2 linked regions of the Diceros bicornis minor genome follow. The protein of the gene in region 2 interacts with the protein of the main gene of each other region in a biochemical or structural test. Links are inferred from orthologs where the notes say so. Each region holds a gene or a part of one and is shown on either strand. Other genes may lie near its edges.

Evidence for each region.
Region 1: the proteins of NCOA6 (region 2) and THRA form a complex in vitro, tested with the Homo sapiens proteins (2 studies listed by BioGRID). The link is inferred for Diceros bicornis minor from reciprocal best matches to the Homo sapiens genes NCOA6 and THRA.

The regions. Positions count from the first base shown.
Region 1 is NC_080757.1:39,638,974-39,646,604, reverse strand, and holds the start of THRA (thyroid hormone receptor alpha), read right to left. Parts: upstream 3,092-7,631; 5' UTR 2,940-3,091; intron 1-2,939.
Region 2 is NC_080758.1:24,788,294-24,796,211, reverse strand, and holds the start of NCOA6 (nuclear receptor coactivator 6), read right to left. Parts: upstream 3,172-7,918; 5' UTR 3,007-3,171; intron 1-3,006. UniProt on the Homo sapiens protein: Nuclear receptor coactivator that directly binds nuclear receptors and stimulates the transcriptional activities in a hormone-dependent fashion. Coactivates expression in an agonist- and AF2-dependent manner.

The DNA of each region.
Region 1 (7,631 bases), on a different chromosome or scaffold from region 2:
GGTGGGTCTCAGCTGCCAGGGGTGTGGAGAAAGGCCATTGTGAGTCCTGCCATGGACCCAGCTCAGCTGGATCCTGCCAACTCCCACCACTGCCCGTGGTGGCAATTATTTTCCAGCGGGTCAGCATGGTGGGGAGCCTCTCACTGGCTTGTTTAGGAGCTAGCTAGCTGCAGCCTGCACACCCAGGGCTTCCACAGAGCTGGTGTCCCCTGGCTGAGCCTGCCAGCCTGAGAGGTCAGCATAGGTGTAACTGACCCCCTTCCCTTCCCCCCATTCCCAGCCCCCAAAACTTGCTGGCTGCAGCTGCAGCACTGAGGAAGCGCAGGATGTCCTGAGCAGCCAGCTGAGCCCCCCGCCCCCCACCCCAGCCTCCCAGTGACCCCAGAGGCAGGGCAGGCGGGGCGAGGGGTGGGGCTTGAGCATTAACAACTGGAAAAGTATGAAGACCATCACTGCCAGTTCCCAGCTCTGAGAAAGGAGACTATGGCAGAAACAGAGACAAGAACAGGGTAGCGACAGGGTGAGAGCGAGTTACAGACTGGCAGAGAAACAAGGAGAGGGAGAATCAGACACAGCAAGACAGAGCAGCAGAGAGACAGCGTTAGAGAGATATTCCAAGTCAAAAATACACATCACTCACCCAGACACTCACCAGCATACGGCCTCCTAAAGAAGGCTTCCAAGTTTAGACAGGAGGGCAGAGGTGGGAAGAGGGGCCAGACTCTTGGTGGGAGGCAGGAACTCAGCTGGGGGCGAGTGAGCAGCCCCAGGAAAGGCTCAGACAAATGACCCCAGCAGAGGCAGCTAGACCCCTCGTTTGCTTGTAGGGTGGGGAGAGGGACCGCTCCCTAGGAGCCAGCTCTCCCCGACACCCCCCTCCCCCAGCAGCCAGGATAATCCCAGCTGCTGGAAGTCAGTGGAAACTGCTCAGGCCCATGACTCGGCCCTCTGGAACCCCCCTGCCCCCCCTACTCTCTTTGCTCTACTTTCTACTCCCTCCAAAAAAAAAAAAGCTGAGCCTAAAGGAAGAAGACAGGAGGAAGCTTGGGGGAAAGAGTCTATGACTATGTGTGCATCTAGGGGTGTGTCTGACTGCACAGCTACAGTGTGTGCATCTGGGGTTGTCTGGACACAACTGTTGGCGTGGACCTGTGACTGTGTGGACTTGAGCCTTGTGAATGCCTTCTGCACCTGAGTCCGTGGGTGCAGGGACTGTGTGCAGATGAGTGCACCTGTGTCCGGAGTTCCCACAGTCAATCAATTAACAAGTATTTACAGAGCACTTCCTGTGCTAGGCTCTGGATGGGATCCAGAGCTCTTCCAGTGATTCTCCCAGGTCTCAAGGAGCTCACCATCTAGCAGGGTGGGATGACAAGTGACGGAGACCGAGAATGTTATCGTGAATGCATACCTTGCACCATTATGCAGTAAAGTCTTTTCATTCAGACAGATTAATTTTCTTAGGCGCCTCACCGAGTCCAGGAAAATACTTGTTGCTAAGTTGTGTATACATGTGTTGATGTGTAACTGCGTTTGCATTTGACTGAGTGACAATCACTGTCACAGCAGGCGATGATGCCTGTGTGACTGGGCTCATGCGAGCACGTGTGTGCCTGTGAGTGACAGGGTCTTTTGTAATATGCGGCTGTGTGCAATTGCTCTGTGTTCATGCATGCGTGCGATAGTGACTTTTTCTGTGTGGGTGACAGTGACTCCTTCTTGTCTCTGTGTGTGACAGCATCTCTGTGTGACCCTGTTCGTGGGTATGTGCATGGGTCAGTCTCCCTGCTCTTGGTCTCCCATGGGTGTGTCCCACCCCTCCAAGCACCCGCGTGCAGCCGCAGCCTGCCTCTCCCCTTGTCCCCATGTGGGTGTGTCCAGCGGCTCCTGTCCTTGAGTCTGCCTGGGTGTCCCTGGGTGTGCATGTGGCTGTCTGTATGGGCATATCTCTGTGTCCGCATGTCACATTTGCTTCCCCCCTCATCTTGGACAACAGCCCCCTTCTTCCCTGCCTCCTCCTACGGCCAGAGCCAGCATTGAGGGGTGGGCTCCCAGCCCACTGGCTTTCCTTCTGCGACTCCCACCCCTGGAAATGGTGGCTCTCTCCATTGCCCCTATCATCCCCCCCACCCCCATGCCTTTTTTTCACACCGGACAAGGCAGGGCCCCAGCCAGAGAAGGGGCACCAGAGACACGTTGCAAGGGGGGGGAAACAAAGGGGGGGGCACACAAAACACAGGGCCGTTCCTCCCTCCCTTTTCCCAACCACCCTAGCTTGCAACCCTAATCATCTAGGGACCCTCAAATACATTCCCTCACCCCCAGCAGCGTTTTTTGCAATTAGGAGTGTTGCAACCAGAGAGCCATGCTCAACTGGGGAGGCGGATGAAGTGGCGGGGGGGGGGGGGTTGGCGGGGGGACGGGGACGTTCCTCTCCCGGGGCCCGTGCAAGTCCACCCCCCACCCCACTCATATTGCCCTCCCCAGCTGGAGGCAGCTTTGCAAAGGCCACTCGGCCTCGGCCTGGAAGGCTAGGGGTGGGGGCTGGGGGGACAGGCCTCCCGCGCACCGTAAACAAACCGCGGCGCGGCGGGCGGGGGAGCTCCGGCGGCCAGCAGCGGGGCCCGGCCCGGGAAGGCTCAGCGGACGGGCCGGACAGAGGCCGGGCGGGCCCTCGAGGGGGAGGCCTGGACGCCATCTCCGCCGGCGAACCTTGGGGCCCACCGACCTCCTAGCAACACCTCCCTTCCCCAGGGCGTAAGTTGCAAGCTCCCGGGCTGTGACAGGGTCACCGGGGCGCCGGGGAAAGCTGAGGCTGGCAGCGGGTAACCCCCGGGCGCCCCCAGCCCGCCTGGGAGCTGGCCCTAGAGCCCCGCGGCTTTGCATAATCAATCGCGATGCATTTGCATATTAATACCCCCTCGCTCCCTCCCCCGTACCTCGGCGTGGCGCGCTGGACCAGGCTGGGCAGCGACGCGGGGTCTCAGCGCCCCGTGCTGGGGGCGTCCATGGAGGGCTGGTGGGGCCCGGGCCGCCCGCCTCCTGCGCCCGGGTGTGAGTGCGAGTGAGCGCGGGGGGGGGCGGGGGGCGAGTGTGGCGGCCCCGCGGCTCCTCCGGCAGAGGCGGCGGTCGCTCTTGGCTCCTCCCTCCCCCGCCCCGCTCGGGCTGGGGCTCGAGCTCCGCGCGCCCGGCCGGCTCTCGGCTGCTCCCTGCAGGCCGCCTCGCCGCCGCCGGCCCCCGCCCCCCGCCCCCTGCCGCGCCCCGGGACCCCGGCCAGCGCCCGGCCGCCCCTCGGCCGCCTCTGCCCCCGCCCTCCTCGCACACGCCCTCCCCACTCCAGGCGTCTCCGGCAGGAGTGGTACTTGGTGACATATTTTAGAAAAGATGTCATTTAAAAAATAGCATTCGCTTGCTGGAAGAATTGGAGGTTTTGGGGTTTGCACCATGCGGATGGAGAAGGGAGTATCGATGAGCCTCCTGCACCTTCTAAGTCCGGGAGAAAGTCTAAATACCAAACCCTAGGAGGTTTAGAGTTTGTTTCTGAGTTCGGGTCTTTCCTCTGCCAGTAACTCACTGTGACCTTGAGTAGATCACCACTGCTCTTGGGGGCAGAGCTTCCTCAACCTTAAAATGTGAGGGCTGGGCAGGTGACCCCTGAGGTCCTTTAACTTCAATCAGCCTATGCTTTTAATCCTTTTGAAGGTTTCCTCCCTATTACCTCTCTTCCCCCCTCAGTTCTAACGTCATTACCTGATCCACCGCCTCCCCTTTCAAATGTCACCCTCCTCCAATATAGGCTCTTTCTATTCACTGTCACCAGCCATTTCCTCAACAATCTGGTCCCCTTGCTGAGCTGGGGAGGGGGCAAGGATTGCCCTATCCCCTCAGTCTCAGCTTTACAAAGGTGGTATTTCCTCCGTGTTTGCCCCCATCAAAATCCAAATGGTACCAGGGCCAATCTAAGGAGGATGGCAGGCTGCATAAAAATGGATCCCCTTCCCCAAAGGACAGGTCTCCACCATGCCAGCCCCACCCCCCGTGCGCACACACACCTGCATTCATGGACATAAAGCTATCCCAGGGACGCCACAGCCCCTTTCATCTCAGGATCTCCCAGCGCCAGGCAGAGCTCTAATTACCCTAGCACCCCCCTGGCCCCACCGGTTCCCCTGCTGTCATTAGCCCAGTTTTACCAGCAGGGGCCACAGCCTTCCCATGGCTCCCAGGGCGGGGCCCTGTCTCCACAATTCACTCTTGGGGAGGGTTATGTGTGTGTTAATGGGAACTACTCTACCAGTCGCCCAGATTATCCTGGGCAGAATCCGTTCGTTAGTGTGGCGTTCTGACCAACAGCCTGTCTGAGTTGGGCTGCCCTTGCTCGTCTTAGTCTCAGCCACCTGCATCCTCAGCTCTGTTGGAGCCACTTCTCTTACAGGGGGTACTGGGGTTTGCAATGCGTGGGGGAGAAGGGAGTGCTTCTCTTGGGATCCCCAGAATCATGGGGATGAGAAAGGCAGCTGGGATGAAAACCACGGGATGCAGAGTAGAGTGGTGGTGATAAGAGGTATGCAGTGGGTGAAGGGAGCCTACATTGTGCAGTGGCAGCCGTAGCGGGGAATTGAGGCTGCAGTGTGCAGAGTCAGCATGTAGTAAGTGAACCTGTGGGTTCAGCCTGGGCTTGCAGTGGACATGCAACAGCTGCAGTGTGGGGCAGGAGGCTGCATCGTGTAGAGTCAGGGCAGTGTGCACTGTGAGGTGCACTGAGGGTGGCTGTCTGCCAGTCGATGCCACCTCCTCGGTGACCAGGTTTGGCTGAAACCCTGGGGAGCAAGGCTGCCGTGTGCAATGCTCAGGGTGCGTGCTCTACCCTGTGTGGAAATAGTCTCTTGAGATTGGGCTGCCCAAGTAGTTGGGACAGAATCCCAGTGCGTAGGATACATTTATGAGATGAGCTACATTTATGCTCTGCATCAATCAGGCAGAACCAGGGGGCAATGGAGAGGTCTAGCAGAGGATTAGGGCAGGGTGACAGAGTCCAGAGGGTGCAGATGAAAGTGTAATGGTTTGTCTCCTCTCCATTCTGGCTTCCCTCACCACATCTCTCTTTGACAAAAGGCCCTAATGATATTGGGTAAGGGAGACTTTTTGAAATCCTAGACCCAGAGCCATAGAAAATGAAGTGCCTCCTGATCCACCTTTTTTTACCCCAGGGGCAGAATAGGGCGCCTTGAACTCAAAGACGAGAGTTTACCATTCCCATCTTTTCCTTATCTCTCTCCCTTTCCTTGGCTCCCAGTATGGGCTGCTAACAGACCTGGGCAAGGGCAAAGTGAAGGGCACACTGCCTCCAAAACAGGCATCTGGCCAGATGCCAGGATCCAGCCCAGGTCTGGGCTTATAGCCCCTGCCAGTGTTGCATCATCCCTATTTCCACCCCACTCGCCCTGCCTACCCCCATTTCTTGAAGCTTCTAGCTCTTCTCAGAGCCATTTCATTCTCAGCTCGTGTTTTCTCCTTGCTGTGAAACCCCACCAGAGCTGTCTCCTCCCATTCTCCACCCCCTCCCCCACCAACCTCTGCTTCAGGGCTGAGTCCATCAGGAGAGCAGGAGGGTGGGGCACAAGTGAGGATGGATAGAGACCCTCCAAGGGGATATGCCTGTTGGCCCTCTCCCTCTTAGATTTTGGTTGCCAAGGAGGCAGCAGGAACAGCCTGTTCTCTGGGCTCCCATAGGAGCAGCTATGCCCAAGCCCCTCCTTCTCTTTCTTCTTCCTTCCCTCCCTCCCAGATTGTTGCTAGGAAGCACCCCAAGATTTCTCAATGTTCCCACCCCTAGAAACCAGGGGATCCAGATATCTTCCTGAAAAGCTTCCCCTATAAGCCTGGAAGCCAAGACCCCACACAGCATCCTCTACCCCTGCCAATAAGCCCCAAGCAGTTTGGGGGAACAGGGGACAGTCCCTCTACCAGCCTGCCCTGGAACTAGCTCTGTGGCCTGGGCCTCAATAATTCCCCTCCCCCATCTCCTCTTGACCACCTGGGCTCTGGGTGATGTCAGCAAGTGATAAGGTGTCCAGCAGACACCCCTTGACTCTGCAGACACAGCCCCCCTTATTGGGGAGTTCTGGAAAGACAGCAGAGGAGGGCCAGCCCCGTGGCTTAGCGGTTAAGTGCACACGCTCTGCTGCTGGCAGCCCGGGTTCGGATCCTGGGCGCACACCGACGCACTGCTTCTCCGGCCATGCTGAGGCTGTGTCCCACATACAGCAACTAGAAAGATGTGCAACTATGACATACAACTATCTACTGGGGCTTTGGGGGGGAAAAAAAAGACAACAGAGGAAACTGAGGAACCACCAGCTAAGAGAACCTCAAACCCAGGTGTTTCACCCTTTAGTGATCTTTCAATCAAGAAAAAATGGTGGAAATGGAGGAAAGGGGGGCCATTTTATGGGAATTGGGGATCAAGTGGCTAGCAAAGATGAAAGACTGGGAAGTTAGCCAACAATTGCCCTGCTAAGAGTAAAGTGGCCACTTAATGCCCCCCTGTCAATCACTTTTGTCCCATCAGGTGCCCTGGTTATGAATCACAAATGAGGTAGCCAGGGAAGGGACTCAGGCCTGGCTGAGCCTTGTTTTTGATAGCTGAGGCAAGAAGTGGAAAAAGAAGCCGACACCTTCTCCAGGTTGTCTTTCAGGGTTTCTCCTACTTTTATTCATTCATTTTTTTGAGCATTTATTATGTGCCAGGTTCTGGTTTCACTTTGCCTTTGCCAGGAGGAGAGATGAAAGGAGAGACGGGGGGCAGTCTCCTTTACCATAGAGTTTGGGCCTTACCACACTGCAGCCCTCTCGGTCCAGTTAAAGGGGATGATGGGACAGGCTGGTGTGGAGGCCAAGAGGATAGAGTAGCTCTCAGTGCCTGGAGGGAGAGGTGGTGCAAAAGAAATGGCAGCCTGGGCAGGCCTGTGGCACAAGCGGTTAAGTGCGCGTGGTCCGCTGCGGCGGCCTGGGGTTCGCTGGTTCGGATCCCTGGTGCGCACCAACGCACCGCTTGTCAAGCCATGCCGTAGCAGCGTCCCATATAAAGTAGAGGAAGATGGGCATGGATGTTAGCCCAGGGCCAGTCTTCCTCAGGAAAAAGAGGAGGATTGGCAGATGTTAGCTCAGAGCTAATCTTCCTCAGAAAAAAAAAAAAAAGAAATGGCAGACTGGCCTCCCTTCCCTGCCACTGTCCAGTCCTCAGGATCGCAGCCCCTCTTTTCTTCTTTTTTAAAGATTTTATTTATTTATTTTCCCCCCCAAAGCCCCAGTAGATAGTTGTGTGTCATAGCTGCACATCCTTCTAGTTGCTGTATGTGGGACGTGGCCTCAGCATGGCCGGAGAAGCGGTGCGTCAGTGCGCGCCTGGGATCCGAACCCAGGCTGCCAGCAGCGGAACGCGCGCACTTAACCGCTAAGCCACGGGGCCAGCCCCCTCACTTCTTCTTTGCGCTGGGAATGTGGAGAGGGAAGGCATCCTTCAGGGTGTTAGAGAAGAAATACTCCAAGGACTGGTTCAAATTCTTTTTTTCACCATCCTGGCTGGTCTCTTTCTGGAGCTCTTCTGTGGGGGCAGTGGGAAGATAGAG
Region 2 (7,918 bases):
GCTGATCTCCTCACAAAAAAAAAAAAAAAAAAAAATGGGCAGAGGATATGAACATTTTTCCAAAGAAGATATACAGATGGCCAACAGACACATGAAAAGATGTTCAACATCACTAATCATCAGGGAAATGCAAATCAAAACTACACTAAGACATCACCTTACACCTGTTAGAATGGCTAAAATCACCAAGACAAAAAATAACAAATGTTGCGGAGAAAAGGGAACCCTCATTCACTGCTGGTGGGAATGTAAACTGGTGCAGCCTCCATGGAAACCAGTATGGAGATTCCTCAAAAAGTTAAAAATAGAAATACCTTATGATCCAGCTATCCCACTACTGGGTATTTATCCAAAGAACTTGAAATCAACAATCCAAAGACGCTTACGCACCCCTATGTTCATTGCAGCATTATTCACTATAGCCAAGACGTAGAAGCAACCCAAGTACCTATCAACAAATGAATGGATAAAGAAGATGTGGTACATATATACAATGGACTACTACTCAGCCATAAAAAAAAAGACAAAATCATCCCATTTGCAACAACATGGATGGACCTGGAGGGTATAATGCTAAGCAAAATACCCCAGACAGAGAAAGACAAACACCGTATGATTTCACTCATATGTGGAAGATAAACTAACACACAGACAGAGAGAACAGTTTGGTGGTTACTGGGGGAAGCAGGTTGGGGGTGGGCACAAGGGGTGAAGGGGTGCATTTATATGGTGATTGACAAACAATAATGTACAACTGAAATTTCGAAATGCTATAAACTATTATGACATCAATAAAAAAATTGTAATTATCAGACTCATCACTAGATCTGATTTCTTAATGTGCTGATAAAGAAGTATCTCTATATTACTATATCAAAATTTGTATATTTTGGTAACTGTATTTCAACATAATTGGTTTTCTTTGTAATCCAGTGTATTTTGTTTTATGCAATTAAAAATATTCTGAGAGAGGGCCTGCACAGTGGTGCAGCAGTTGAGTTCACGCTCTCCACTTGGGTGGCCTGGGGTTCGCCAGTATGGATCCTGGGCGCAGACCTACTCAATGCTCATCAAGCCATGCTGAAGTGGCATCCCACACAGAAGAGCTACAACTCTACAACTATGATATACAACTATGTACTGGGGCTTTGGGGAGGAAAAAAAAAAAATTCTGAGAGAGGCCCATAAGCTTCACTAGATGCTAAAGGGGCCCATGGCACAGACAAGGTTAGGCCTTCTTGCATTAGAAAGATCCAGAACAAATGAATCCTGTTGCTGTATAAATGTATGGCATATACGTATTGAATATACTGTATATTGAAAATCTTATTGCTATGAACGTCCTCATAATCTTTTTGCTGAAAGTCCTTTTTGATTATATGGGAGCCCAGGAACTACTATATCATGACTGATTTGCATAGTTTCCCTCAGAACTCTCTCATAGCCCATATGAACTTTGAACTCTTCTCTATCATGATCAAACCTCAATTAAAGTTTGATCATGATAGAGATCCTAGGTCTCTACCATTGTTCACGGTTATCTTTTTAGGCTTTCTGTGTCCCTTTGCTGTGTAGTAAACACCTAGAAGAGAAGGAGCCTCTCTTAAAACTCTAGAAAGTTAGAAGTCACAAGTGTCCTGCAGATAATTTCTTGGCACAAATGGAGGTGGGCTAGAAATTATCAAATAGCTAGTTACCTATACTTTTTTGTATCCCCCTCAGTCTTTGTACTGACAATCTTATTACAAAAACAAAATTAATTAATAGTTCTTTGATCTATACTGCCATGATTGACTTCACACTTTTTTCCCAACTAACAAATTCCTCTAAGGTAGTATATGGAATGAGGAGGCAGCAGACCCCCTCTGCCACTAATCGGTAAGATCCTGAGAAGTCAACTTTTTCTTTCTAGGTCTCAGCTCAAGTCACTACATGATCTGAAACTGTTACAGGATCCCTAAGACCCTTGTAGTTTTTATATATTCACTCCTCTTCATCATTCTTACTAGCTTCAATAACGCCTTTCTGATGACCTCCCCAGGTGACCCTGCTCTTAAAACAGTGGGCTGTCCCCTTCCTGGGAAGACACCTTGGGTCACCGCCCACAAACAGCCCAGTCCCTCCTTTTAAAGACACACAAACTCCCTAAGTTGATGGAGGTTCTCTCTCTTCTTGCCAACCAGTTCCACTCTCTGCACCCCTTTTGCTACCAGCTCCTTCATCCAAACCTCAGCCCTCCTTCTCCCCCTTCCTCATCAAAGCCTTCCTTTTTCCTGTTGCTCTCCCCAGCAGGGAGTGGAGGATCCTCGGGGCACCTATGTCCTCAGTCCCTTGGGAGTTACACGGACTTGCAATCCAGCCCCGCGACTCCGACGACTGCCCCAATCTGCTATCCTCGTCTGTACCCAAAGGGCCCAATTTCTAACCAACACTCTTCCCACCACCACCAAAGAAGTGTCCCCAGCCCTGACAGCTTGAGTTTGGACCCCACGCCCCTCCGGGTCCTACCTGCTCTGGGGTCCTAACACTGCCCATAGCCTAACACAGCTCCCGGTCCTGGTCCCCCAGCCCCACGGACCCCGATCCCGTTTCCGTGTGGACCCAGTGTCCCTTCTCCGCGACCCCGGCCACGACCCCACGTCCGGCTCCCGCCAGTACCTCGGGCCTGGAGCGCCACCCCGTGCAGACCCCGGCCGGCCTTGCACTCCCTCAGCGCCCCGGACCCCGCGTCCCGCACCCTCCCCAATCCCAGCCGGGCCCCCGCTCCCTCCAGCGCCCCCGCCCGCAGGCCCCGGGCCCGCTCCCCAACATGGCGACGGGGACAGGAGCGCGGCGGGCGGGGCGGCTCCGGGCCGGGCCCGCACTGGGGCCGTGCTCCACGGTCGGCCGGCGCCATTTTCCCGCGCCGGGCCCGGGCGGCACCTCCTTCCAGCGGCGCCAGCCGGGCTGGGACCGTGGACGCCCGGTGGGCCCACCCCTTACGGGCCCGCGTCGCCGTCACCTCACCTGAGCGCGGCCCCAGCCCTCCCGGGCGGGCCTCGGAGCACCGGCCGGGGCCGTGCGTGCCCGCGGCCCTCCGTGTGTCCGTCCGTCCGTCCTCGCGTGCGCCCGTCTCTCCGGCCGTCGGCGCCCGGCCGCCCGCAGCCCGACCCGGCAGGGCCTCGGGGAGCCGGCGGGGAGGGGGATGGGCCGGACCGGGCCGGGGAGGGAGGGGGAGGGAGGGCGAGAGGGAGGGAGCGCGGGAGGGGCGGGGCGGACCCAGAGGCGGGGCCCTGGGTCACGTGACCAAACGTCCCCGGGAGCGCGCGCCCGCTCACTTGGGTGCAGAGTGCTTAGGGCCGGGATCCAGTGGATCTCTGTATGCCGCCTGGCACTGTAATATCGGCGGTGGCTCCTATCCTCACTTGGGAAGCTCTGCACAGCCCTATAGGAGCCCTCTGGCTGAGTGTCCTTGGGCAAGGCAACTCTCCAACCCTCAGTTTACCCATCTGAAATATGGGGATAATAATAGCGCTTGCGAAGAGGAAATAAGGGCATGGACAGCCTTTGGCACAGTGCCTGACACATAGTGTCTAATAACGTTAATGGTGATAAAGATAGTTAACCTTTATTATTATTATAAGCTCCTCTCTACTTTTCCCATTACCGTCAGGCTTGCAAGTTCAGTGGGTGCTCAATAAAATAATTCTTGCGTGAACAAGGGAGTGCGGCCCCTCCCCTCTCCCCAAATGTAGGGAACCCTCACCAGCGCTGGGCTTGATACCTGTCATATAGGCCTGGATTCAGATCTGGCTTTCACTCTTGATAGCTGTGATTTTCTTTTGCATCTGAACCTCAACTTTCTCATCCCTAAAATGAGAGTTAAGGATCTGTTATGAGCATCACAGAAGATAGAATATGAGCAGGTGGATTGTAAACTGCACAGCTCAGGCATACTGGTCTCATCTACAAAAAGGAGTCTGGAGTCCTGTCCTTCCACAAATATTTATTTGTGTGCTTGGACTGGTGCAGTAGCTATCCATGGCCTTTTCACATCCTCCTTGGTTCCCTGCAATCTATTCTTCATCCTGCTGTCAGAGTATTATTTCAAAGTCAGAAATCTGATCATGTCCCTCATTTCTTTAAGACTATTTGATGGCTCCACATTGCTCTTGAGATAAAGGCCAAATAAATATCTTACTGTTGCCTTCCCACATCTTCAGACTTCTCTCAGGGCCCTCTTCCACTCTCTCTAGACTGTAACTGCCATCATCTTCTTCACATATTGTACTGCCTCCCTTCTCAGGACCCTTGCACATGCTGATCCCTCTGCCTGAAATGCTCTCCTCCGTCAGAGATAACTCAACAGCCTTCAGATCCCTGCTCAAACATGGATACCCCAAGGACACCTTCCCTGACCACTCCCCAGGCAGATTCTCATACTTGTCCTCATTAGGAGGCACTAGGCTGTTTATTCCTTGTCTTCACCACTAGATTGTGGACTCCGTAAGGAAGGAGACTTTAACCATCTTGTTTGCTGCTGTTTCCTCAGCACATAGCACAGTGCCTGTCACAGAGAAGGCCCCAATAAGTATTTGTTGTTTTGTGTGAATCCTGGGCACTGTGCTAGGTGCTGGGCCCAAGAGGGCCGAGAAAAATTAAGAGAACCACAGGCGGCCACAAGGGGGCACCTCAGGCCTTGGAGCCTGTGAAATTAACACCAAAAGGATTTATCAGAGCCCAGAAAAAAGTTTTTTTTTTTTTTATTGATGTTTTAATGGTTTCTAACATTGTGAAATTTTTGGGTTGTACATTTTTGTTTGTCCATCACCATATATATGACTCCCTTCACCCCTTGTGCCCACCCCCACTGCCCCTGGTAACCACAGTCCAGTTTTCTCTGTCCATGTGTTGGTTTATATTCCACATATGAGTGAGATCATACAGTGTTTGTCTTTCTCTTTCTGGCTTATTTCACTTAACATAATACGCTCCAGGCCCATCCCATGTTGTTGCAAATGGGACGATTTTGTCTTTTTTTATGGCTGAGTAGTATTCCATTGTAATATATACCACATTTTCCTAATCCAGTCGTCAGTCGAGGGACACTTAGGTTGCTTCCACTTCTTGGCTATGGTGAATAATGCTGCAATGAACATAGGGGTGCATAAGCCTCTTTGGATTGTTGATTTCAGGTTCGTTGGATAGATTCCCAGTAGTGGGATGGCTGGATCATAGGGCATCTCTATTTTTAATTCTTTGAGGAATCTCCCATCAGAAAAAAGTTTTTTTAAAGCTTTTTCTTTTAACTTTTAGAAAGCAAGGTATAATTAGCATACAGCACAATGCAAACGTCTTAAGTAATAAATTTTTACCTATGTTCTTGTGTTACCACCAGCCAGATCAAGTTACAGAACTATCAAACCAGAAAGTTCCTTTTATTTCCTCCAGTATGTGCCCTCCCAGTCAATACTTGCTCCCCCAGAGATAACTACTATTTTGACTTCTAGTGCTGTAGATCAACTTTGACAGTTCTTGAGCTTCACATAAATATATAAGCACATATTCTTTTGTGTTAGCCTGGAAATCTGATCTATCCAAAGAGTGACTCTTTGGATAATGATACAATTAATGAATTATTTGATTAATTAATTAATCTGAAAGACTGAATGAGAAACTCTGGTTATTTCATCCTCCAGAGACAAGGGTCCTGCCAGAAGGCAGCCCAGGGGCTGAGAAGACATCATCCACACAACTCCAAGTCTCACAAAAATTTCTAGAGGTAAGAAAGCTCTGAAAGGCACTGGCCTGGTGGCGCAGTGGTTAAGTTCGCACGCTCCGCTTCGGCAGCCCAGAATTCGCGGGTTTGGATCCTAGGCTCGGACCTATGCACTGCTTATCAAGCCGTGCTGTGGCAGGTGTCCCACATATAAAGTGGAGCAAGATGGGCACAGATGTAAGCTCAGGGCTAATCTTCCTCACAAAAAAAAAAAAAAAGAAAGGAAGCTCTGAAAGATTCTAGAAACTCAACAACAAAAATCCATTTTAAAAATGGGCAAAAGACTTGAGTAGACATTTCTCCAAAGAAGACATACAAATGGTCAATAAGCACATGAAAAAACATTCAACATCACTAGTCATTAGGGCAATGCAAATCAAAACCACAATGAGAGCTATTATTAAAAAAAAAAACAACCAAAACACAGAAAATCACAAGTGTTGGTGTGAGGATATGGAGAAATTCAAACCTTTATGCATTGCTGGTGGGAATGTAAATGGCGCACCAGCTGTGGAAAACAATTTGGTGGTTCCTCAGAAAGTCAAACATAGAGTTACCATCTGATCCAGCAGTTCTACTTCTGGATATCTACCCCAAAAAAAGTAGAAGCAGGGACTCAAAGAGATATTTTTACACCCATGTTCCTAGCAGCATTATTCACCATAGCCAAAAGGTGGAAGCAACCCAAGTGTCTATAGACAGATGCATGGATAAACAAAATGTGGCGTATATATACAATTGAATATTATTCAACCTTAAAAAGAAAGGACGTTCTGACACAGGCCACAACATAGATGAACCTTGAAGACATTATGCTAAGTAAAATAAGCCAGTCACAAAAGGACAAATATTATATGTTTCCTCTAATATGAGGTTCCTAGAGTAGTCAAATTCATAGGGACAGAAGGTAGAATAGTGATTGCCAAGGGCTAGAAGAAGGGAAGAATGGAAGGTTCCTGTTTAATGGGTACAGAGTTTCAGTTGGGGAAGGTGAAAAATGTCTGGAGATGGATGGTAGTGATGGCTGTACAACAATATGAATATACTTACCGCCACAGAGCTGTACACATAAAAATGGTTAAAATGGCAAAATTTATGTTATATATATTTTCCCACTGTCAACCTACAAAAACAGAAACCAATTTAAGAAACAAAGCATTTATTTGAGATCAAAGAATGGCAATTTGGGGAGCACAGATTCAGGTAGAAACCCAAATAGTCTCCCATTAACAGGAGAGGGGCTTAGGGTTTTTATGGGAAAAAGGGAGGATGAAGTGGACTATCTTTTTTTAATTTTTTATTTTTATTTTTTTTTTTCCCCCAAAGCCCCAGTAGATAGTTGTATGTCATAGCTGCACATCCTTCCAGTTGCTGTATGTGGGACGCGGCCTCAGCATGGCCTGAGAGGCCGCGCGTTGGTGCACACCAGGGATCCGAACCCCGGGGTGCCAGCAGCGGAGCACGTGCACTTAACCGCCAAGCCACGGGGCCGGCCCCTGAAGTGGACTATCTTAAAGAAGAGTTCATTGGTGCTGGATGAGGTGAGACTAGGTTTGTACTTTGCCTGAGGGTCAATCATCAGGCAAAAGGCTACATTTGTACGTCATTGATTGGTTAGCTATCCAGTCATCAACAAAGTCCAGGTCCATCAGTTCTTACAGACAGGATATTCTTGTCCTTACTGACTCCTTGGAATGTTGGTGGTTTGGTACAGTTTGGAAGATAAAGAAAATCTGAAATGGCTGCTCTGGCTCTATTTTACTGTGGCTCCACTCCTCAAAAAAACATGCCAGAACCTGAGCCACCATCCTCATTTTCTCACCTTGTTATCCATTCCTTACCCCAAAGGTCATAGGGTTTCCTTGGATTAGCAAGGATGCAGGAAGCTAGGAGACAGGGGCACCTACACATCCGGTAGGTGAAAATAGCAGGAGCACAGGCAACATAAATGTTTGTTGCCCACAGTAAGGCAGCAAAGGAACAGAAACAGGCCATGAACTGGCACTAAGACGAGCACAGCGACTACAAAATTGGGCTCTGATGCCAAAATACCCAAGTTCATATTCTAGCTCTGTCACTTATTAGCTTTGTGACCTTGGGCAAATCCAACCTCCTTGTTATACAGATGAGGAAAGTGGGACCAAAAGAAGAAAAAGGACT